Linked DNA regions of Arabidopsis thaliana. The protein of the gene in region 2 interacts with the protein of the main gene of each other region in a biochemical or structural test. Each region holds a gene or a part of one and is shown on either strand. Other genes may lie near its edges.

Region 1 (5,339 bases), on a different chromosome or scaffold from region 2:
AAGGGCCCTAGAGGGCATAAGTTATGCCACTAATTCAAAGAATATTAATCTACAGATGTGTTGAATCATGAAACTATAAATAATATTAGGTGAGGTGAATAACGTATGGAAGTTAAGTTATAGTGTTATTGTGAAGGCATAGAAATTTTCCTTGTTGCTTTTTTAGCTATATGATTACTTGTAGAAGTTAAGTAATTGAGTAGACAAATGTAGTAGGTATTGTGGAAGTTGATTTTTACAAAATAAAGATTTGAGTTCTTGAATTTTAGGTAATTGATTTCCTATCATAATTCCCTTACCATATCATCTCCAATTCTTTTTTCATCAGGCATATCAAGTATCAAATAGTTAAGTTTTTACAAAGTAACATAAACTAATCAACAATCTTTGTGATGACAATGTAGCTTCCAACAAAAAGAAAATCCTACTTAAGCTGCAGTGATTCTAGCTTACTTTAAAACTCAACAAATCCATCTCCATTTGTTGTTTCTGTTCAGTCTTCGTAGTACACCTTCTTCACTACGCCTTCAAGTACACCATCTGACCCAAAATTACCGTTAAATTCTTCATTGCTCACAGGACCAGGAAGCTGAAAGTTGATGGTGAAGTGGCCTGGTGGGCATAAGTTCTGTGTTAGCATTTTGAAGATCTGATTGTGTTTGCAAACTGTCTGCTCCCCCGTCGTTGTTGCTCCCTTTATCATAATCTTACCGTCTGGTTCTATTTCGCAGCTGAATTCCTCTGCATATTTAACAAGTCAGATTCAGCAGAAGACAAGTAAAAGCACACGAAACAAAGCTCAAAGCACCTCATAAACACGCTTATAAACCGTGTGCAAGGAAATAATTGAGTAAACACACTTATAACACAAGGCTGAAACTTCTCAAATCTATGTGCAAATAATATTTGCTCTGAATGAACAAATATCTTTAACTAGCTTTAGAAATGATAATTTGGCATGTCATTTGGAAACTTCACAAAGATATGGAAAGGTGGTAAGACTTACTCTCATCCCTTGAAACACCAGGCAATGCAACACGAAAGTAATATGAGTCTTCGGATTCAGCAATATCAACCAACCCAATCGTTAGTCCAATCTTCCCCATTGCAGCACTTCCCGTGAGAGCAACTCCGGTTTTCGTTTGACTGATAAGGTTAGAAAACTCTGAACTTGAGTCAGAAGGCAGAAATATCATCGCAGGCCCTCCTACTTTCTCTACACTATCATTCATCCTGTTACTCGACATGGATGCATGAGTTACTGGACCAATGTAAGGCATACTGTTCAATGGAGTCACTTCAAGAATTTGTGGGTTCCTTGTGTTATCCGGAAAACTGTTGTTTTCCCTCATCCCATTTAGACCACTTGAAGACCTGAAGCACAACAATTCCTTTTATCATACACTTGACTCAGATTCGCTATATAACAGAATCACTCACGAAACTACAACGATTCTTTAAAACAGCAGCGGACTAAAAAGGCTTAATCTTTGAAACATTATAAGGCTATAGAGGTAGCTAGATTCTAGAATCAGTAAGAGAGCAAGAGATTGAACTATATTGGTTAAGATCCAATAAGCAAGCTAAGTCTTGTGATGTATAACCACTATTAATGCTTACGAATATTCATACAAACGGAAACTTCTTATACTTTCATGACCACAAATTAGACAAACGAAGAGGCAACATTCATCATTTGTCCTCTTTTATGTTATCGAAAAGGTCTTACACAACAATGTTAGATACACACATGAGTCTGACCCAATTTTGTAAGCAAGGGTTTAGCCAAGTAATGAATATTATACTATCTTAGACATAAGTTTAAGTTTTAAACCTGAAAATAAGTTTGGCACACAAGTATTTCATCAAAGTTTCAGACTTTTAGCCAAAAGTAACCTAATTTCAATCAGTGAAAATGTACAAAACCCATAAAGAAAAATTAAATCTTTCACAGAATCAAACGAAAATACACAAACTTGGGTTATATAAGAGCAAGAGTAGAAACAAAACTGACGAATTTTTGAGAAAAATTAGTTACTTTACCTCATCGGAGACGATGTTTCAGAAGTCGCCGGCAAAAATCTCCGAGAAGCTTTGTTGATTTTTTTTTTTTTTTCTCTTAATTTTCTTTAAGATGTACATTTGGTATAATCGCCACGTGGACAAATCAGTGCCGAAAGAATACCATTTTTACCCTCTTCTTGCCATGTCTTGAGTTTTTTTCCCAAGTCGCTTTCTGTTTCTCTGATGAGAGACAACGAAATTCACTAAGCAGCAACCCTAAATTTACACTCCTGGTTAGTAACATTTTATCTCAATTTCGTTTATTTATCAACAAATTATGTTTCTATTTGCTTCAATTTCTTAAATCTCCTTAAAAAGTTTCGTTTTTTCCCACCCATTTTGATACGAAATGTGTCCAATTTTTATCCAATTTGGTTATAATTTCTTATTGCATGTCCAGTATTTTTCAAATTTTCTATTAAAGTTTCAATCTTTTTGTATAAACACTCATAAAGAATCAAACTTTTGATGTTGTGTTGTGTGTTTAGGATATGAGTGATACAATGCCTGAGATCGTGTCTCCTTTAGTAGCTGAAAACTCTCAAGAACAAGAAGAAAGTGTGTTAATTTCATTGGATATTGAAGAAGACAAGTTGTTTCTCTTACATTTCATCATAGGAACTTACTTTGGACCAGATTTAAGAAAACAACATCATCGTCCAAAGCAATCAGCTTTTCAGATTCAAGCGTTGAAGAATGTTGTGGTAGATGAGTTAAGTGGCTCACTTATGAAGAGAGCTGAGCTAGAACGTGTGTATTATCACATTATTAGAAATGTTGATCCGTCTCTAGTCATGAAGCCGAAAAAGTTACGTGAATATTTCAATGCGAAACGCAATGATTCGAACAGGGATTACCCTCTTTTCGTGGATCTTTTTCCGCGAAAATTGCACCCTGAAACCCATGTTAGGCATAAGTTTAAGTTTATCCGGAGCATTGTGTTCATTAATGATCCAGATACTTCTTGTATGAGAGAAGAATGTGTTGCGCGGTTTAAGCGGCTTACGGGATTGGATAGCTTTGCTTTGAGCCTTAGTGTTGATGTAACTAAAAGTAACGGCGTTGTTGCAGCTAATGAGGTTAAGGTTGAGATTGATGAGAGCGTGGAACCTGTGAAAGAGGATAATGCGGGTACTTGCACTAGCGGTGAAGAAAGTGATGTTGCTGCAAAACCTGAGGTGAAATCTGAAGCTCATGGTGGACTAATGGTGGGACTGATGGACATTGGTGAATGTGATGACGCTTATCTCTTCCGTGTATCGCTTCCTGGTGTGAAAAGAGATGAAAGTGAGTTACTTTTTGCTTTATCTAGAAGATCTCTCATCCCACTAAACCAGTTTCTTGATTTGATGAGTGTGAGATATTGCAGGATATTTTAGCTGTGAAGTAGAAGACAATGGGAAGGTACTAGTTAGAGGAGTCACTACAACAGGCGGGAAGCGAGTTAAACGGTATTCTCATGTGTTTGAAATGCAAACGCGGAGTCTCTGCCCTCCCGGTAACTTTTCTGTCTCGTTCCGCCTCCCCGGTCCTGTCCATCCACACGAGTTTTCTGGCAACTTTGGAACAGATGGAATTCTTGAAGGAGTCGTAATGAAAAACTTGCAGAAACAAACTGTGTAAACGTTTGGTAGTGATATAGGAAGCGTCGGTTTTTGGTTTTGGTTATGGGTAGGGATAAGTACGGACTATTTAAACTCGAGCTAAGCCATTTTGAAAACTATGTGTAAGGACTGGTTAGTTTACAATATCACTGTAGCTTTGAACTTTATAAGTAGTAATCTAGCCTTTTGTAAGTTCAATTCTCAGTTTATGAATTTGTTACATTGACCGAAAACAGTTTGATGACAAGATAAACCAAACTGAATAACAATAGATAAATCCATGGATCATAAAACAGAAATTATTCTACTACACCAAACTTTTTATGTCGCAATAGTTTTCTATTAACATTCTTCTTCTTGAGTAGATCCACCGGGGAGAGCTTCGAATTAGACGGCTCTGCGGAAAACAAACAAGAACAATCAAATCAAGTTTTGTGTCCATGTAACGATAAAGCACAAATCTAAACCAAGAACTCACAGTTTATTAGGCCAAGCTAATTGTCAGGATCCTGCTGCTCAGGTCCTGGTTGTTGCCACATTGGCTGACCCATATACGGGTTCGGCGGATACGCGCCCGGGTTACCCATAACCATTCCCGGGTTCCCAATTGGAGCTGTTCCAGGAGGCAAGTATCCATACGGATAACCCGCAGCTGTAGCAGCTTCAGCACCAACACCACCCAAGACTTCATCACGAAGATCCTCCCGAGGAACAATATCCACAAGAAAATCAAAAATATCAGTTCTAGTCACCGCAGCCGCGATATCATTCTTCTGCAACGTCCTTCTCTTGTTCTCCTCAGTATGGTTCCAAGACCTTAACGTAAGCTCCAGAATAAACATCTCGCAGGCCCTGGCGAACACAACAGGCGCCTCGGCCGAGATCATACGCACATCTTCATCAGCTTTCATGATTTTCTTGATTCTTGCCAATGGAAGGCTATGGTTCTTGAAATCAGTGGTTTTCTCAATCTCTTTGAATTGAGTCTCCCAGAAAGATTGAAGCTGTTGAGTGAGCTGTTGTTGTTGTTGCTGGTGGATCTGATGGTAAGCTGGATGGTCTGAACCGGTTGGTGTAGTGGTCATGGCGTTGGTTTGATATGGGTTTGAACCATAGTTCATAGCTGATGATTGTCCTTGTTGATCCATTTCTCTACCAAACTAAGAGAAACATTTTTCAAAGTTTTTAATTTTAATTCTATCATCAAAAACACTAATGAATTTATAAGTTTCATATTGAAAACAAAAAAAAAACACAACTTAAACACATTAACAATAATCAGACAAGATAAAAATCAGACAAAACAATAATCAGACAAGATAAAAATCAGACAAAAGAATGCAAAAGTAGTGAAATTAACAAAATAAAAATACATTTCATCAAAACAAGAGAAACGATCATAAATCAAAGTTTTTTTAGCCCTCGATAACAAATAAATTGAAGACAAAAGCTTTGATTATGAAATAAACCCAGAAAAAATGTTGGGAAATTTAAGAGAAAATTGATTACCTCAAAGATTGACGGAAGAATCTGGAGAATTTGCGAAGATGGAATTGGGGGAGGAGAGAATTTAAGATCTGGAAAATCTGGGTTTTATCGCCTTCGTTGGGATATTTATTTTATAGGGTTTTTCTTTAACCTTCTTTAAGAAACTTAATAAAAAGGAGTTAG
Region 2 (5,767 bases):
CCTTGAAAGTGTAAATAGCTTAGAGTCAATGTTGGGGTGGTACCTTGAGGCTACAAATTATTCAGGGAAAAGTCTCTATGCCCTTTAATTCTGGCCTATTTGGCTTTTGTGGCGTCAACTCCAATATCAATTTGCAGCACGTACACAATATTTTAAAAATAATCGTACCAAAAAGAAATTTCAATAACCAACAACAATGTTGTCTTTTGACTTTGAAATCTTAGAAGTTTCCACTTACCCATTTCTAGAAGTCTTAAATAGCACTGTTATTCAAAATCTTTTTCATTGTACATCATTAAACTCTATGCAAAAGGAGAAATACATTATAAATTCCCACAATCTGCATTCATTAGTATGGAAACCAGACTTTTAAGAATTTGGTTTATTTTGTCAAAGTTCCACATCAAAAAAGGAATTAAATATAGAATTACACATACAAAGCATATGATAATTCACTTATTGATATTTGCTTTTGAGTTAAAAGTAAAGGTTGACAAAAATAAGAAAAAGGTTAAGACCAAATTCAAAATAAAGTACACTGTATTATATTTGACATATATCTAGTCTATTGCGGTACATTCAAGGATAGATATAGAGATAATTATATAAATATACATAAGATCTTGCAGTAGGTGACTGACTTCATTGAAGTGAATTCATACATATTTTGGTAAAAAGATCTGTGATTGCGTGTACACGTTGTGCTTCACAGTTTTACTACAGTTAACATTATTTTTTCTACAGTTTCACAGCAAAAACCGGTGAAGAGAGGTAATTATATCTCACATGGAATACGATATAATTGTCATATAAACCCTCTCAAGTCTCAATCCAAGAAACCAAGGTGAGCTACTAGCTTTAACCGTTAGTAATAACGATGGACTCTCATAATCGAAATAATCTTGTAAATTTCTATATTATACTCGTGAGAACCACTTGGGGCGTACACAAAATGTTGATTTTCATTTATAGTTAGATTCATACTAAGTATTTGGCGAGTATGTTTAACGAGGAGAAGTTGTTAATACAAAAATTAGAGAGGAAGCACACAAAATCATTCTTAGACAACCATTTCACATCAAGCTTGGAATTTTGAACCATTATTTACACCTTACTACAGACAACTTCGAATTTTAAGTCCCCAAACTTAATATGAGCACTAACATACCTGCCCGAATAACCAAAATCCGGTTCACACCGAATATGAAATTGAAAATTTTGGAAAAGCCGGTTATTTGGGTCAGTTATAAACTAGACCGAAGTATGAACTTGAACAGACTACCGACTGGAATTAGCTCTTGTTAACCGTAAACTAAATTGACAAACCTAGTTCGGTTAAGAGCGGTCTTCGATCAGTGAAACAAATGCCTCGGACCATGTATGTTTAACCAAGCTAGAGACATTCGATCCGCGTACATTCGCAGTGAACATGTTTCCGCCGGAACCGGTAAGAACCCACTTTACTTTCTTCGGTGGGTTTGGGTCAATAACTTCGCTCTGAAATCTGATACCATTCCGGTTCATCAGAAGCTGCCACAGTCAAACCGTTACAACCTTGTATAGAAATGGTTCATCTTCTTTACCTCTAAATGATGTAAAGCTTAAAATCAAACTTCATCTATCTTTAAGCTTAGAAAACTTACAGGAAGCCGCTCCGAATGCACCATAGAAACCGAGTCAAGTGTAATGTTCCCGACTGATATCAAGTATCTCTCAACGGCTGCCATGGAACGGAATTTATTCCCTGTTCCTGGCTCAATATATGACTGCAAACAACAGTACTAACGGTATTGAACGTTTGGACTATATGACACAAACCAAATATAACCAAACTACCTAAGTATCAGATATGTACCCTGTCTATATGACTGGAACTTCTTCGCGGTTTCTCCTCAACGATCCATCCATCAGGTAACCTGAAATCTTTGGAATGGCCACGGCGATTCTGTAAAACCCTAAGCTGCTGCTCTATAGAGTTCCGGGATTCTCTTAAGTATCTCTCAACGGAAACAAGAGAACGGAAGCGCTTTCCTGTTTTTCGCTCAACATAATACTGCAAAGAACAATACTAACGGTTTAGCCAGAGATTCAATCCTAAAACCACCAATTCAACGTATCCTTTTCACATTCTGCTCTTCTCACATCCCACATTTAACCGACCTCAGTTGTTAGTTATGTGACTCAGTAACTTATGCATAGGGTCTAAAATAGCTATAGCAAGTCTCTACATTAGTACCTTATCAATATAATGAGAGTTTTTCCTCGGAACCTCCTCAACGGACCATCCTCTAGGCAATCGGAAACCTTTGGAGGCATATTCAACTCCGCAGTGATCCTGCAAAAGCATAAACACACTGATTTTAAGTATTTGATCCAAGAAGAACCATATGCTTCTGTAATTTCAAATCAGAACAAAGGACCTGTTTGGTTCTTGATCCTTCATAAACCCTTGTCTTGTCCTGGAAAAAGGATCCTGCTCGAGTCAAGCGTCTGTCATTTACTTCTCCAGCCAAGTGTCTGTGAATAGCTTCTAGTGATGAAAACTGTCTACCAGTCCCTGGCTCGATAAAGTACTGCCCACAAAACAAAACAAAAACAAGTAAAGATGAGACTTTTCAGAAGAGAACCACAAGATCTATCTTCAACTCAAGCATATACCCAAAGAAACGACTCATAGACCTCTCAAGCAACAATCAAGAGCTCTGTGGCAACACAATCACTAATCTGATCCAAGCATTACACTTTGGTCATACATATCCATTGCACAAAAGACATAAATTAGCTCTAATTGTTCAAATTCTGAGAAAAAGCTCAAATTTTGTTTCACATTTGCTTGATGTAGCTCATATTTACCGTATCAACAACACCGTTGTTGCTAGATCGCGGCCGATTCACGACGGTCCAACCAGGCATAATCTTGCCGCAAAACGAGGTGGGATCCGCGATCTGCAACTGGGTTTCGCGGCGGTGGTTAGCCGAAGGAGAGGAAGAGGATCTCGTCTGCATCGCTTCGTTGCCGGGTCTAACCCAAAAGCCCGAGACGAGAGTGTGGTTTTTAGTTTGGTCGTCCAAGCCACACACACTTCTTATTTCTCTGTCACTGCTTTCACGTAACGACACGCAAAAAGCACCATATGTCCACTTGGCAAATTTTTACCTTAATACAAATTCTGTAATTAGAAGATGATTAATGAAAAATAAAGTTAATAATCACATGCAAATCAAATATGCTAATCACAAAGATAATAAAAATAATCAATGTTTTTGGTTTACTAGCTATACATTTTATTTTAGGTAATGAATTATATGATGCCGATAGTTATTTGTTAACATCAAAATAAAATTAAACTGTTTTAAGAAAGAATGTGTTTTAATTCAATTTTTTTTATTTTTTTTTTGAACATTAAAATATTATCCAAACATATAAAATGATTCATAGAAGAAAAGTGAGAACGATGAAGTAGAATGAAGAATGAGGCTAGCTTGAAAGTTGGACGACGATGGGACTCCTAACGTAATGATGTGAATCAGTCCACGTCAGCTCTCCAAAAACGTAGCCTGAAGGCGTCACTGGCAAGGGACGAAGAGTCATCTGAAATATCTTCACTTCACCAGTTTTGTTGAACGTGAGCTGTTTTGGCTCCACGGAGACGCGAACTCCAAGTGGCTCTCGGAAACGAGCGTTGTAGGTAGCAGGTGGTCCAACGTTTTTGAGTTTTCGGGTGACGGTGATAGAGCCCGTGAGGTTTGGGACAGTGATTGAAGGGTAGTTGAAGTCGAGAAGATTGGCTCCTTGGCGACACGTGTACTGTGGGTCCTCGGCAAAGAGTTGAACCACGGTGTTGTTGTAGCCAACGGCGCAGAGGAAGTCCAAGTAGTCTCCTGTGGTGAGATCATAGACAAGACCAGGATGGGCGGCTTTATTGGGTTGGACATGGCCTGAACCGTAGCTGAAGGGATTTGCTTTCTTGAAGGATTCATCAACCATGGGCTTACGTCTGTTGTTTCTGGTTCTTGAAGTTGTCATGATGGCTGAGCGGATAGCTGCAGGACTCCAATGAGGGTGAAGTGTTTTCAAAAGACCAACGACACCGGAGATGTGAGGACAGGACATGGAAGTTCCTGATTCGGTGTTGAAAGGAGTTCTTCGATTGTCAGAGTCTAAGTCTGTAGGGCCCGTGGCTTCCGTGAAGGCGGCTATGATGTTGACACCGGGTGCAGTGATGTCGGGCTTGAGGATCCCTGGTGTGATGGTGTTTGGTCCTCTGGAAGAGAAAGAGGCCATGAAAGGAGCAGGCTTTGTGTTCAGCGTAGCGGTAGGTGCTTTGATGTAACCTTTGGGATCTTTTGTGGAACTTAGGTAAGAAAACAAAGTTTCACCATCTTTGTAGTCAATTTGTGAAGCAGGAAGAACATGAGCGTCTGAGATGATTTCGTTTCCACTCGCCTTGTCGTTGCATAGAACCATTCCCGCAGCTCCAGCAGCAGCCGCTTGCATTCCCTTGTCCACACGTGCGTTGTCTCCTCTCAGACACACCAAGATCTTCCCTTTCACCTTCTTCGGGTCTAGGCTACCTTTCTTGCATAGCAATCTATGTAACCATCACTAGTTAATTAGTACTTACTTAATTATACACATTCCAAAAAATAGATATCAAGCGTTTACTTACGCATCTGTCACATTTCCATTGGCTACATTAGCATCTGCAGCACTGATGAGGCTATACATCTTTTCTTCAGGCAAAGGCTTTGAGAGGCTTGTTCCCTGCTTTTCAAAATTAATTACTTGTAGCACAAGAAAGAAAGGAACCAAAAGTGAAAGAAAAAAAAAAGAAGACGAGGTCAAAGTATCAAACCTTGAAGCTTTGGCCGTTTTTGAGCTCAACAAAAGCTTGAAACTCCCGATCCATGGAGCTAGCACCGACTGTAATAACCCATGGTGCAACGTTTGAGACAGTGCCAGACTTAGGACCTGAATTTCCAGCAGAGCACACAACCGTCACCCCGTTTTTGACGGCGTGGAAGGATCCAATGGCTATACCATCGCTCATGTAATCTCCAGCATCTCCTCCCACTGAAGCCGAGAGAACATCCACGCCGTCTTCGATGGCAGCCTCAATCGCTGCCAAAATATCAGCATCAAAGCACTCCGCGCCATCCACAGGGGGCCAGCACACCTTGTAAGCCGCGACTCTAGCTTTAGGAGAACCACCACTGGCTGTTCCATTCCCGATACCAAACACATTGGCTCCGGGAACAAAGTTACCAGCCGCGGTGGAAAGAGTGTGGCTACCGTGACCATCGTGGTCACGACAGGTTTCATAGGAGGCGTTAGAAGGAAGGCCTGTGTAAGCTAAGTAACCTTTGTTGAAGTATCTAGCACCGATGAGCTTCCTGGTTACATGTAACGAATCAATAATCACATTCTCTGTATATTTCTATATTTGCAGAAAGAAGTCAACTAAATTAAGATGAGAACCTGTTGCAAGGAACATCCTTGTGGCATCTACCTTTCCACCTAGCTGGAACAGCTCCATACCCTTCATCGCTGAAGCTTTTTGACTCAGGCCACACACCTTCATCAACATACATATTTTATATCATTCATAACTATGAAAGCAATTATGATGACCAAAGCATACCCTTGTTTTGAGATTTACCTGTGTCTAAGTTAGCGATGATTGTATCCTCTCCGTATCCTGCTTTATTCCAAAGAGAGGACTTGTGAACAACACCATTTTTCGCAAGGAGCATGAAATTCCATGAA
Region 3 (6,149 bases), on a different chromosome or scaffold from region 2:
CAGCAGGAAGAGCACCGATCATAAGTATAAGTCTCCAGGCCAAGTCAGCTTCCGTCGGAGCCGCCGCATCCACCTCCAAACCACCGCCACTTCTCTTAAACGCCACGCAAACAGCCATGGTCACGGCAGAGCTAACCAAAATCCCCAACCCTTGCATCGAAAACACCGCAGCGATAAACGCGCCACGTGTCCTCTTATTAGCAAACTCCGACATAATGGTAGCCGAGAGCGGGTAATCACCACCGATACCTAAACCAAGAAAGAACCGGAAAAAACCGAGGCTAACCATAACACAAGACCGACGAGTGGTGCACACGGAAAAGCCACAACCAAAGGAGCTAAGGATCATAATAATCAAACAAAGTCCGTAGACTCGGCGACGACCGACTCGGTCACCGAGGTAACCGAAGACTAGTTGACCCGTGGCTGTGCCGAGTAAAGCGATGGCGTAAGAAGTTGAAAGAACGGCTGTGTTGATTGAGTCACCGTTGTAATAAACATGACTAATCATTTTCATGACCGGTGCTATGCAGAAAAGATCGTATGCGTCGGTGAATAGACCCATTCCCGCTACTATGATCGCTTTGAAATGGTACCATTGTGTTCGAGCTACATCAAGCGACGACAATACCTTTATCGGCATCGTTGGTTTTTTTATCTGAGATTCCGAATCCAGAGCTTTTTTTTTTTTTTTTTGCTTCTTTCCTTTTGGTTTGTTATATCGAAATTTCGAATTCATGATGAGTGAAACAGAACAAGGATCTTTATAACGATTAATAAGTCTCTTTGTCATTTTCATTACTTTATTGGTATGAGCATGGAATATGCTTATGATTTTGACTCCGAGGAAGACTTAGTCAGTTTGTTTGTAAGAGCTTCTTTTTATCTATGTTGTCACATTAAGGCACAACATCATAATTGTTTGAATTTTTCTAGCCAAATTAAACCGTCGGTTCAGTACTGTTTTAGTTTCGGTTTGATCACTTATTGAGAAATGAGAACAGTAACTACTAACAAGTAACAGCAACACTGCCAACACAGAAACAATATTAACGGATTCTCAGTTTGATGAAATCATTGTGAAAACGGATATTTAGCAAAATCATGCAAAATCTACAGAGTCACGTCCTAAAAGTAAAAGATTTATCCTTGCATGCTGTTTGATTCGCTTTCCTTCTATGTCCAGTAACATAAAGATAAAAGATCTACATAGATCCTAAGTTCTAAACTTGTATAGGAACCTCCGGTTTAATTAAGAGTTTTTGTGTCGGATGATGACTCCCTCGAAGATACCATCTGATCGGAAGTTAGGAGAGAATAGCCGCGGATCAACTGGTCCCGGGAGGTTAAAGCACAGCTTGAATGGTCCAGGCGGACACAGCTTCCGGATATTCATCTCGAACACCCGAGAATGTCTCTTGATATTTTTTTCGCCTCTTGTAGTTGATCCCTCCAGTATAACCTTTCCATCTGATTCAATCTCACAGCTGAATTCACCTGCACACAAAAGGACCAAACCAATTCATGTGTTAGCACTTAGACCCGATGTGGCGTGTATGGAAGTAGTTAGATGTGCAACAAAGTGTAATAATACCGTAATCTTTGCGGACACCGGGCAAAGCAACCTGAAAAAAGTAAGCAACCTTGTTGACACCAATGTCAACAACACCAACAGATGATCCTAGAGTTTCTTTACTGGCTGTTCCAGTAGTTACAACCGACGGTTCTGCATCGCTTTCCTTCATCTCCGAAGAAAAAGGTATAGGCTTATCTGTTTTTTCTCTTTCCATAAGAGTTTCACCATTCTTGTTTGTTGCCTTTTTTGATGAGTTCTTGAACCGTCTTCTCTTGTATGTCTCACGAAATCTTTCAGGGGTTTTACTCGTTCCACTAACAGCATGACCAGTAACTGCTTCTTCTTCCTTGTTCTTTCGCTTGCATGTTTCTGGAAGCTTTACAAATGAATAGTAGTCTTGGTCAGAGACAATTCCACTGAATGCAGATTCTCCGTTTCTTGAACAGTCCTGCTTCATTCCCTGGCTTTCTGGTATGTCTCCCGAAAGTCTTTCTGGTTCACTGATTACGCAACTAGCAACCGCGTCTTCCCCTTCCTTTCTCTTGCACGTTTCTTGAAGCTCACCAGATGAATTGTAGTCCTCGTTAGTGACAACTCCATTAGCTGTCGCATCACCATTTCTTGAACAGTCCTGCTCAGTTTCCCGGCTTTCATCCAGATTAACCCGAGGAGATAAAGACGTGACTCTATCGATTTTCAGGTCGTCCAAACGCGACAAGCATCTGAACCTTTGGAGTTCTTCCTTGTTTATGAACCCTACTGCAGGATCATCAATAACAACAATTCCTTTCACAATCTCGTGGCTCGGGGAATACCTTTTCTGCGGGTGAAGATTCGTCGGGAAAAAATGCGTGAACTGAGGAAACTTTCCACTTGGTTCCAATGGTAGATATCCCTTGAGATACATATAAATCATGTCTGGATGAAGAAGGAGGCTGGACTTGGCGTTTCTGAGTACATTATAGTACAAGTTCTGTAGCTGGGAAACAGTTAGAGAGGAAGATCCAATGTGCATCAAAGTGTAAGGTGGCAAACCTCTAGCTAATCTTTGAGAAGATGAACATCTTGGGTTATCAGAATAGACATCAGGACCCAAGTAGTTGCTCATGATGAAATTAACCAAGAAATACTGATCACTCGATAATCCGTCGCTATACAGACTCATATCTTCGATATCAATGAACCTGCATTACATATGAAAGTGGCAACATTGTCACAAATGGAAGCAATAAGGACATTCCAAAAACATAGTTACAGGACATAATTAAGTGTCTCAAATTTGCCAATTTAGTCATAGCATTGAAAATCTCCATCATTTTAGTCCCTAGATCTCTTAAGTTTAACCCTTTTCTAACAATGACTTTAGTCTCCATAATGTTTTGCCTTATCATTACTAAGGAGAAAACATCTTCAAATTAAACCCTAAAAACTTCACTTATTAACAGCAAAATCTACATTTGAAAAGACTATGTTGATATTTTGAGAAAGATTAGTAACTCTGCTTCATATATACTCTTCACAATACAAAAAAAAAAAAAAAACCAATTTTTACCCAGAAAATATCGCAATCCAACAATTTTTCACTAGTTAGCTCAAAGTCAACAATTTTCCTTAAATCTAAAGGTTACTACGCTTGAATACGAACCAGTTTGTACTTTTTACAGCAAAAATCGATCCCACATTGTTCCCACCACAGAAGATAAATAGGGATTATGCAATTTCAACCTTACAAGTCCAGCGATTGTGAAAATTCAAGCAACATTCATGGAGAAAAAACGAGAAGAAATTCGAAGCTTAAGCATGACAGAAAATTCTCAGTGGCAGATTTTACCTTTTTTAATTTCGTCGTGATGTTTTTGGGTTGAGGAGGATGATGGAGGTGAAGAGAAGAGAGATTTCTCTGCGAGAAAGAAATGTTTGGTGTAAGGAGAAAAATGCAAAAGAGGATGGGGGTCCTTTGCTTGCTACACGTGGCTACCACGTGGGTCCCGCAAATAACCGCATTTGGAGGTATCACTTGTCACCTGGCTCACCACGTGCCGTCTTGTTGAAGCACTTTTGGGCCTTTTAAAAAGTATAAGGCCCAAATGTTTTGTATGTCTTATTCTCATTGATAAAGCTTATTCTTTTAAACGAGAGGAAGTTGTAGGAAAATGGGAACATTAATCTTGTTTGTGCTGACTAAACTATCTCTAAATCAGTTTTCTCGGACATCAAAACATCATTACTATGCCACTACCTCATTATGTAATCCTTTTAATTATGTGTTGATCAATTTTTACTTTGATGGATCAAAGAAGGAAACGTAATTACATCCACCCCCAAAAATTGGACTCTTTAAAAATGGTTTAAATGACGATGAATTTAACTAAAAACTCGAATCTATCATCTTGAAAGCAAGTGGTAAACGAAGTGATAAATGGAGTATAAACAGAGGAATCAGAGTAGAAGATAGGAGTCATAGACAGAAACAATTGAGAAGAACAATTTATCAGTCTAGAAACTGTACAGACATAGAAAAGAGAAGAATCCTGGAGCTAAAATTTATGCACAGACAAAGAAGCTGAAGTGAGCTCCATAGTCATTAATTTTTTACTTACAATGCAGAGGACTTGACTCAAGAGGACGTGAGAATCTACCTAGTAATATTACCAACACTCATATGCCTTAAGAGAGTGTGTAGTAAGAAGACTACTTTTACCACCCAAAAGAATCAGATGTTGATTCCACCATTCTATATGCATTTATGTATGTGTTTATATATATATGAACTTTCTTTGTACACCAAACTTATTCCTACCAGTTTACCGCGAAAACCCTTGTTTCCGGGGTGAAACTATTCATATAGTTTATGCCATCAAGCTTGTTGTGGGCTATATACATAGGATGAGAGGGTTAAAGATAACAGAAGCACAAACCCTGAAACTTCCATTCTCCTTTCCCCCTTTTTTGACTTCTTCAGTGAGCAAGACTACTTAATACCTGTAACGACGGTAATGAGGTGAGATCGAAAACATTTGCAAGTACTGAAACTTAAAAGGGCACCTAAGGAAACAAGCTTACCTCTAGAATGCGAAAATAAATAATGTGCTAAGCTTAAACAGGAAGCCTGCCAGAGTAGCATTTGTCCTGGACTTCTTCCCTTTTCTGCAATCTTTAAGGATTACTAACTGAAAACCGATAAATAACAATGAGGTCGTGTAAGTGTGTACGAACTTCAATCCAATTTGGACCATCAAAAAAGAATCCAAGAATTTGCTTACGTTGATCACCCTGTTGTCTGATCAGAACCGCTACTCTGTATATACTGAGGAGGAGTCTGGACGATGACACGTTGGTGCGTTGGAGCTGAAGGAGAAGGGTATGGAGATTGAATAGCAGACATAGGTGAAGTGGCACCAAGCTGTAGAACATGACTTCCTGGATGTGAATAACCTTGACCCGCTGTATAACCGTGAGCACCAGGAATAGTATGGCTCAGTTGCCCATATTGATAACCCGGTGAGTTAACTGCCCCAGGTACTCCATAAACCTGAAGGTACTGTTGACCCATGTAAGGACCATAGAAACCCTACAACACCATGAAGAGAAGACATGAGTTTATAACTAAAGCCACAACAGTTTAAAATGCATAAAGAAGGTAAGAAGGAACTGCAATAATTTCAAGCGCCTACCTGAGACTGTGAGTACATGTAGTCAGGTCCATATGGTGTAACCCTGAGAGAACCCCAAAAAGCACAGCTAATATTAGAGACAGGTGAGTAAAGTTTTGGCTAAACACTCTTTAAGAAAAGAAGAGTAACACTTATACAAAACAGCTAGAATATGTTATGCTACGAAAGAAAGATGCTAAGCTAGGGGGGAAAAACCTAAGTCCACTCCAAAATGTCCATTCCAAAAATCTAGGTAATTTTGCCCTATCAAAGTCCAAAAACATTCATGACCTTGCCTGTCCAAAACAAATTGAGCTCGGCCACATATCCTCTGCAATTATATTTTTGTATTCCTGCAAGTTACCAATCACAACATGTCACATGATAGTGCTACACTCAAGAACCCTAAGTGGCAGAAGATACAACCCCTAACGCAATAGAATCTCTAGATGATTGTCCATGATGTGATTGGTAAATGCCACTTGATCAAAGTGACTGAAGGACTAGCATGTAGAACATTAGAACTGATACACTCATCAAAGCTTGTCTGTTATAGCAGATTTACAATAGCAACGAAATGTTCTGAGCTTCAAATTGCATAACTCACCCATAAGGGTACACCACTCCTTGTTGGTAGTTATAAGTAGGGGGTTGGTGATACGGATGGCTTCCAAAATGCAAACCGCGAGGACTCTGCACACTTCCAACATATGGGGAAGGAGGTCTTACCCGTCCTAACCAAATAAAAGAAGCAATGCAGTGATTCAAGGTTAACACGGTCATAATCCTTGAAAAATTGAATACTTCACCAAAATTATAAAGGTCTCTGTATGTAATGCGAAGAAAAGAATAGATGAATACTGAAGTAAGACTGACCAGGAGCATGGGGTATCACTGCATATTGCATTGGAGGCCTAGAT
Region 4 (6,373 bases), on a different chromosome or scaffold from region 2:
GGTGACTCTGTTAACAATTTGTTTGTTTTGACTTTGGGTTCGTAGCTGGTTGAGCAACAAGAAGAAGGGATGTGTAATTCCAAGTGCAAGACGATCGAGAATGCTTGTCAAAAGGTTAGCTTAATGTGGTCTTTCAGCTGTTAATACAATTGGATTTGCATTTCTTTGAGTATTTAGAGTTGGATAAATGTGATTTTCATCTGTTTGTTGGTGTGTGTTGCAGGTCATTGGTTACTCAGACACTGATGTTGCAGAGTATATTTACAAGTCTAAGCCTGATCTTGTTTCACTGGTGAATCATCTATGCAAAGATTTGACCGATGCTTGCAGCAAGAAACCTCCTCCTGTTCCCAAGGTACCTTTTATTGAAACTGAAATGTGGATCTTTGGTGATTTGTGTCCGTGAATGTTCTTATGTTGTTGCTGTGGAGATGACGTTTTGATAAGTGTTTCTTTATCTTTGCCAGGATCGGGTTCCTGGAGAACCATTTGTTGCAAAACCATCAAAAGATGCTGAAATGGACAAGATTTTGAGATCTATGCAGGTAATCTTTGATGACGTCAATCAATACCACTAAGCAAGGAATGCATATCCATGGAATGATCTTAAGCTTACTCTTTACCGCTATGTTCAGGGTATGCCAGGAGCACCTGGCATGAAGGTATACTCTAGAGAAGATATAGAGAAGGGGAATATCGGTAATGAAGATGATGATGGCGACGATGATGAAGATGAGGAAGAAGATGATAAGTTTCCCAAGAACTTGGTACATAAAGTTTCTTTTTTCAAATGATCAAATCTTTGGGTTAAACTTTCATGAAGAAGAAGGAAACCGAGATCTTTCTTTCTTTTCTCTAAAACACTTGTATGGTTTTGTTGGTTTTTAGGGAAAAGTTTTGAAAGAGAAAGAGAGTAAAACAGAAGAATTGAAGAAGACAATCACTAAGGAGTTCAAGAAGAAAGGTGAGGCTCTGAAGAGACATGCACAGAAAGTGTCAAACCGGGTCCGGAGATGGTGGAAAGGACTTGGATCGTCTTCTTCAAAGAAACCTAAATCCGGAAAGTCTGAGCTATAGAAACAGTTTTAAACTGGTTTTGTTTAATGTACTCTTTCTTCACACTTGCTTTTTGTAGATTTCCTTTAGTTTCTATAATCTTTTGGAGAGAATATTGAAAAGTGTTGACAGACATCAGTTTTGTGATCAACAAGGAACATACACGAGATGGTTTAGAGCAAAATCATTAATTTAACTTGAGATGAAGCAAATGTTGCAATGTGAAGCAAATGGAAAGTTGTAATCTGGAGAAAAAGAAATATAAAAACTAAATCACAATATGAGAATTGTATCTTCTGAAGTTCTGCTTCTTATGAGAGAACTTTAACGCATTTTGTAGTGTTGGGTCCTTGAGATCTTGCAATGCTGGCCATTCAAAGAATAGCTTAGCTTTATGTCAATGTCTCGAGGATTCTTCTTGTTAGGAGAAACGGACATAGTTCCAGTGATTGTCTCACCCTCACATATGGTTAACACATCTTCTAGATACAGAACTGTTTGTTTCCAGTGTGTAGCTCGGGATTTCGGTCCTGCATGTGACACATATGGTTGTTCAGTGCAAGTTTCAGATCATAATGAAACAATGTGCTATGTTTAAACTTCAAACCAAGTTATTCGATAACATGCCATTTCTTTGCACCAAAAAAAAATAGAATACTCAGAGCTAGCACAAGATTGTAGAGATCTGAACCTGTTGAGAAGCCCAGCAGCTTGTGGCACATGGTAAACGATACATCAAAGTAGGCTACAAGGGCGTGGATGTAGTCATTGCGTTGTGCAACAAGCTTAAAGGGAGCTGTGAAGGAAGCATCACCAGAGGACATCTTTGAGATATCCATCGTCTGTTACAAACCCATAAGAATAATGAAATGAACATTAGTCACACAGGTAAAGAGATACTACTAATCATCATCATATGATATCTTATATACCTTTAGAAGCCTACTATCGGTGACGATTTGGTTTTGGTCGACTGTGTCAACAAGTGGTTCCATCATAGCTTTTTTCTTAATACATGACATGTCAAAACCATACACACTGTTCCAAACTGTAGCAGAACAACAAAAAAGAAATTAAAAATGCAAATCTCAACAGACATCAAGATCAATGTTGGAAAAAAAAAGACGAGAAAACGTGTCAAATCAATGCACTCACATTCGATTTTGTCTTCTTTGTACTCTGAATCCTCTATGGCTGTAAGATGCAGAGAGGCTTTGTCTGGTAGCACAACTCCACCTTCAACCTATCCATAAAAACACAGGACCAAGAAGATTTCATTTAATTGGTTTTGGTAACTAAGAATCTCATGTAACAAGGTGGAGCTGTAACTTACAAGCCATTTATCACGAGCATACAAGACACTGTCCAACATATTTTCAAACAACAAAAAGTAACCCATCCATTCCGATATAATCACATCCACTTTAGGAGTGGGAAGCTCTATCTCCTCAATCTTCCCTTTCAATACCGTAATAACTGCATCGATAAAACAAAAATCATGTTACAGAACAGAAGTTATCGATTTGAATACAACTCAACATGGATAAAAGACCTACCATCAGAAAATCCATTAGCTTTAACAATCTCCTTTGCCATGTCAGCCATTTGAGAACACTCAACCTATTAAGAAACATCCTCAATCAAATCAGTCAAAATTGAAAAAGATTCTTCTTACTTATGATTATTAAAAAAGAGACTGAAAGATTGAAGACATACAGCGTAGACATGAGCAGCTCCTGCCTTGGCACAGAACAGAGACAAAATTCCGGTTCCAGCTCCAACATCAAGAACAATTTTGTCCTTGATAAGAAACTTGTTCTGATAAATAACATTCTGATAAGTCTTTGTTCTCACAACATCCTTCAACATCTCCTGTCAGATACCATTCTCAATTCAGTCATCAGATATATACAGAAGAAAACACAATGAATTACATTAAACTTCTAGAACAAAAACTATAACAAAAAAAACTGAGCTTTGTCCTCGATACTTACTTCATGGATTCCTGCAAAAAAAAGTGGAACCAAATTCAACTCTTAGTAAGAATTCATAACCAAAGAGCACAAGGAAAAAAATAGAACTTGAAAAAAGGGAATTTACCAAAGTGAGAGTAAGAATCGAAGTAGTAATCGGCACTGGTGGTATCATCAGTTACTTCAGCGGTGTCGGCGCTCTCTCCGGCGTCGAACATGGACTCATCTTGGGGAGTTTCCTCGCCGGCAACACCAGACCCTTCAGCAACTTCGTCTTCATCAGCATCTTCAAAGCGTATCTTCGTGTTCTGATTTGGTTCAAAGCTGATGAACTCATTCTCGTCGTGGTTACTGTTCTTAGTCATCTTTTTTTCTCGGTCTCACACAAGAAGGAAGAGAGGAAAGGGTTTTTGGGGATAGAGACGAAGTCGCGAGATTAGGGTTTTATGAAGACACGAAGCTTTTAATTTGAAGTTTTTTTTTTCTCTCTTGTTAATGAATTTTATATTAGAACTAAAATTGTGCTCAAGATATTTTCTGTACCGGTTCGGTTTTCGTCGACAAGCACCAAACCGGTTAGATTTTATCTGTCCACTTGAACATTCAATCGGTTTAATATCCAACCACACAAACAAGACACTGAAACAAAATAAACTACATGTACAAGATTAGTAAAACACAGGCAATTTTTCCTTATTCCCATTAACAAAAATAAAGGTTGTATTATTGAGTTTTACTTATCAAGTTTTTAATTTCCATAAGCTGCCTAAGAGTAGCTACGATCACTTGGTCGGTGGCCAAGGCCCTCCAGCCATCACAGCTTCGATCTCCCATGTCTCTCGTGGAACATTCGTCATGTTCTTGCAGCCATTAGCAGTAACGACCTAAAAAAGAAATCACACATATACAACAAAATGAGATTATTGTATATGACATTACTCTTGAGAGTGTTTTAACTTGTAGACGTTGTAGTGAATATGAATTTGACATTACCAAATCGCTTTCGATTCTGACACCTCCGAAATTTCTGAATCTCTCTATTGTTTCACGGTTGAAGAACTTAGAGGTTGTTGCGTTTGCCATGGCTGGGAACAGCAATGCCTTGATGAAATAGCATCCTGGTTCCACCGTTATTACCTGACATAAATACGATTAGGACAATGAACAGAGACGATAAATGAGAAGAACCAAAAGCATTTCTACTTGAAACAATCGGCCCTTACCATTCCTTCAAGTAGGTCTCTTGCAGTTCGTAATGACTTCAATCCAGGTTTCTTTGGTCTCTCCACTCCCTAAAAGAATGAAAGATCAAAGCAACGGGTAAGACACAGGGACTGTGGTTTTATTTACGTGATGATACTATTGGGTTGAAAAAAGATTTGATGTACCTTTGGGTAGCCACCAGTATCGTGAGTGTCGATGCCCATGAAGTGACCTAGTCCATGAGGCATGAAAACAGCACCCAAGCGCTGTACCATCATGTCATCTACATCACTAGGAACAGAGAACGAAACCATGAGAATGAATTAACCTTTAGAGAAGAGTATTGAAATGTCTAACACAGAGAGAATTACCCAGTGAGTATGGACCCCTTCTTCAGTGACTCAAGGATGATTTTTTCAGCTAACCTGTACATTAATTTGCTTCAGTCGACAAAGAAAGCTGAATAACCATATGGAGATGTATTTCAATTTATCTCCCTAACAAGAGGATAAATCAAAATGGACCAAAGCAACTGAGTTTACGCTTACATTGTCAATCCCAATTACTGCATCTGCATGCATAGTAGAACAGAGCTATATAGCATCTCAGTAAGACTTACTTGTGCATATCCACCCAGTTTACTCCTGGCTTCATCGCAGAGATTACAGAATTATGTGCATCCAGAACAGCCTGAAAGGAAGGCAAAATCAGAGAAACTTATTCAGATGTAAAGCTTCAAGAGACTCACCAAACTCTGGATTGTGCGAAGACAAAAAATAGAGCACACATTTCTAATACATCCACGTTGCACCAATCTTGTAAGGCACTTACATTGTAGATTAGACTCTGGTCACTTGTAAATTTACCATTGACCTGCACACCAATTGATAAATATTAGAGACCACTTTCTCTAGATAACTACATTCAGCAAATTATGATGTTCATGTAAACAAGATTAAAAACACAAGTCAATGCGGTGCAAAGACAATTCAGAGGAAAATTAAGAATAGATTTGATGCTAGAAGAACTCACGGGGAATGAGCATGTTATGTCAGACCCATAAAAATGGTATTCAGCACCCATATCAAGCAATGCCAAATCTCCATCTTCAAAAGTCTGCAACAAGTATTAAAACATTTTCAAACAGGGAATAATGAGAGAACTAAAAAAGCGAGGAATGTGTGTTCCCTTTACCCTATCATTTGGAGCCGCAGCATGCCCATAATGAAGAACAGCACTACAAACAATTTAACATCGTTTTGTTAGTTTTTCAGTACAAACACCTGAAAAGGAATATTTCTGCATATTCAGCAATAACAAGATTTATCCACCAAACTTACCTATTATCCCCTGTTGCACAAATGCATGTGTACGAGCAATGCCTACAGCCACCGTACATGTAGCTGTGATGCAAAAACATACTTTCCATCTGATATTCTTTCATGCCCGGTGTGACTTTCCTCATAACCTTAATGTGGATTAAAAAACACATGGTTAAAGTTGGAAAGATGTAAGAGAATTGCAAAAAGAGAAGAAAAAAACTGTCTACATGGAGTGGATAAGAAGAATTGAGGTCAGAAACCTAAGTCGTAAGATGATACAAAAACGACAGATTGTGAACAAGCCAACAGATAAGAAAATCGTTTCATCAATTTATTTCATTCATTGGTCTAAGCATACCATTTAAAAAGACAAACAACAATTCGAGAGAAAACATGTTAGGAAATCAAATTCACACCTCTATATGAGCTTCAGAACTTATATCATTTGCAAACTGTATTAGTTGAAGCTCCAAACTTGATTTAATAACTCGACATTCCGCCAAAATAGGATGTAAAGTAGTCAAATCAGTCTCAAACTTGTCTATCCCCTGAAATAAGACAGGACAACAGTAAAAAGAAATAATTACAAATGAGATTCCAAATATCAGGAAAACAGTACGAGCATCAGAATCCTGAAATTCTAGATCACAAGACATGCGGTAAGATAATTCATCTTCAGCATCAAGACAAGACAAACATAAGACCAAATCTCCAGAGAAAGTGAAGAAGAAAGGATGAAATGTCAAAACCTCAAAGCTGGCAGGTTTTGAGAAGTTACTGCTGTCAGTATTAAGACCATGCAAGAGATACAACAGGGGC

What was found.
Region 1: the proteins of MBD7 (region 2) and AT1G54840 form a complex in vitro, tested with the Arabidopsis thaliana proteins (2 studies listed by BioGRID).
Region 3: the proteins of MBD7 (region 2) and AT1G20870 form a complex in vitro, tested with the Arabidopsis thaliana proteins (one study listed by BioGRID).
Region 4: the proteins of MBD7 (region 2) and PRMT11 form a complex in vitro, tested with the Arabidopsis thaliana proteins (one study listed by BioGRID).

The regions. Positions count from the first base shown.
Region 1 is NC_003070.9:20,451,149-20,456,487, reverse strand, and holds AT1G54840 (HSP20-like chaperones superfamily protein), read left to right. Parts: upstream 1-2,221; 5' UTR 2,222-2,297; intron 2,298-2,552; 5' UTR 2,553-2,555; coding exon 2,556-3,351; intron 3,352-3,433; coding exon 3,434-3,687; 3' UTR 3,688-3,895; downstream 3,896-5,339. Other genes in the region: AT1G54850 (HSP20-like chaperones superfamily protein), read right to left, coding at 494-741, 1,007-1,374, 2,044-2,048; NF-YC3 (nuclear factor Y, subunit C3), read right to left, coding at 4,163-4,816. UniProt on the Arabidopsis thaliana protein: Prevents DNA hypermethylation and transcriptional silencing of transgenes and of some endogenous genes. May act as a molecular chaperone of IDM1, regulating its H3K18 acetylation activity.
Region 2 is NC_003076.8:24,093,417-24,099,183, forward strand, and holds MBD7 (methyl-CPG-binding domain 7), read right to left. Parts: upstream 3,117-5,767; 5' UTR 3,007-3,116; coding exon 2,854-3,006; intron 2,574-2,853; coding exon 2,421-2,573; intron 2,336-2,420; coding exon 2,237-2,335; intron 2,054-2,236; coding exon 1,856-2,053; intron 1,767-1,855; coding exon 1,644-1,766; intron 1,531-1,643; coding exon 1,336-1,530; 3' UTR 943-1,335; downstream 1-942. Other genes in the region: SBT5.4 (Subtilase family protein), read right to left, coding at 3,479-4,592, 4,671-4,765, 4,857-5,394, 5,480-5,576, 5,661-5,767. UniProt on the Arabidopsis thaliana protein: Transcriptional regulator that binds CpG islands in promoters where the DNA is methylated at position 5 of cytosine within CpG dinucleotides.
Region 3 is NC_003070.9:7,258,035-7,264,183, forward strand, and holds AT1G20870 (HSP20-like chaperones superfamily protein), read right to left. Parts: upstream 3,447-6,149; 5' UTR 3,408-3,446; intron 2,761-3,407; 5' UTR 2,742-2,760; coding exon 1,595-2,741; intron 1,498-1,594; coding exon 1,253-1,497; 3' UTR 989-1,252; downstream 1-988. Other genes in the region: PHT1;8 (phosphate transporter 1;8), read right to left, coding at 1-799; AT1G20875 (uncharacterized protein), read left to right, coding at 3,447-3,647; AT1G20880 (RNA-binding (RRM/RBD/RNP motifs) family protein), read right to left, coding at 4,845-5,147, 5,251-5,293, 5,837-5,963, 6,106-6,149. UniProt on the Arabidopsis thaliana protein: Acts as an anti-silencing factor that prevents DNA hypermethylation and gene repression.
Region 4 is NC_003075.7:14,488,760-14,495,132, reverse strand, and holds PRMT11 (arginine methyltransferase 11), read right to left. Parts: upstream 3,512-6,373; 5' UTR 3,395-3,511; coding exon 3,157-3,394; intron 3,062-3,156; coding exon 3,051-3,061; intron 2,929-3,050; coding exon 2,773-2,928; intron 2,677-2,772; coding exon 2,613-2,676; intron 2,533-2,612; coding exon 2,390-2,532; intron 2,300-2,389; coding exon 2,212-2,299; intron 2,105-2,211; coding exon 1,989-2,104; intron 1,899-1,988; coding exon 1,748-1,898; intron 1,587-1,747; coding exon 1,381-1,586; 3' UTR 1,132-1,380; downstream 1-1,131. Other genes in the region: AT4G29520 (nucleophosmin), read left to right, coding at 46-114, 224-355, 468-545, 636-767, 889-1,077; AT4G29490 (Metallopeptidase M24 family protein), read right to left, coding at 3,812-3,913, 4,023-4,166, 4,253-4,321, 4,418-4,523, 4,604-4,657, 4,852-4,922, 5,064-5,105, 5,265-5,348 and 4 more. UniProt on the Arabidopsis thaliana protein: Methylates (mono and asymmetric dimethylation) the guanidino nitrogens of arginyl residues present in a glycine and arginine-rich domain. Type I arginine methyltransferase active on both histones and non-histone proteins.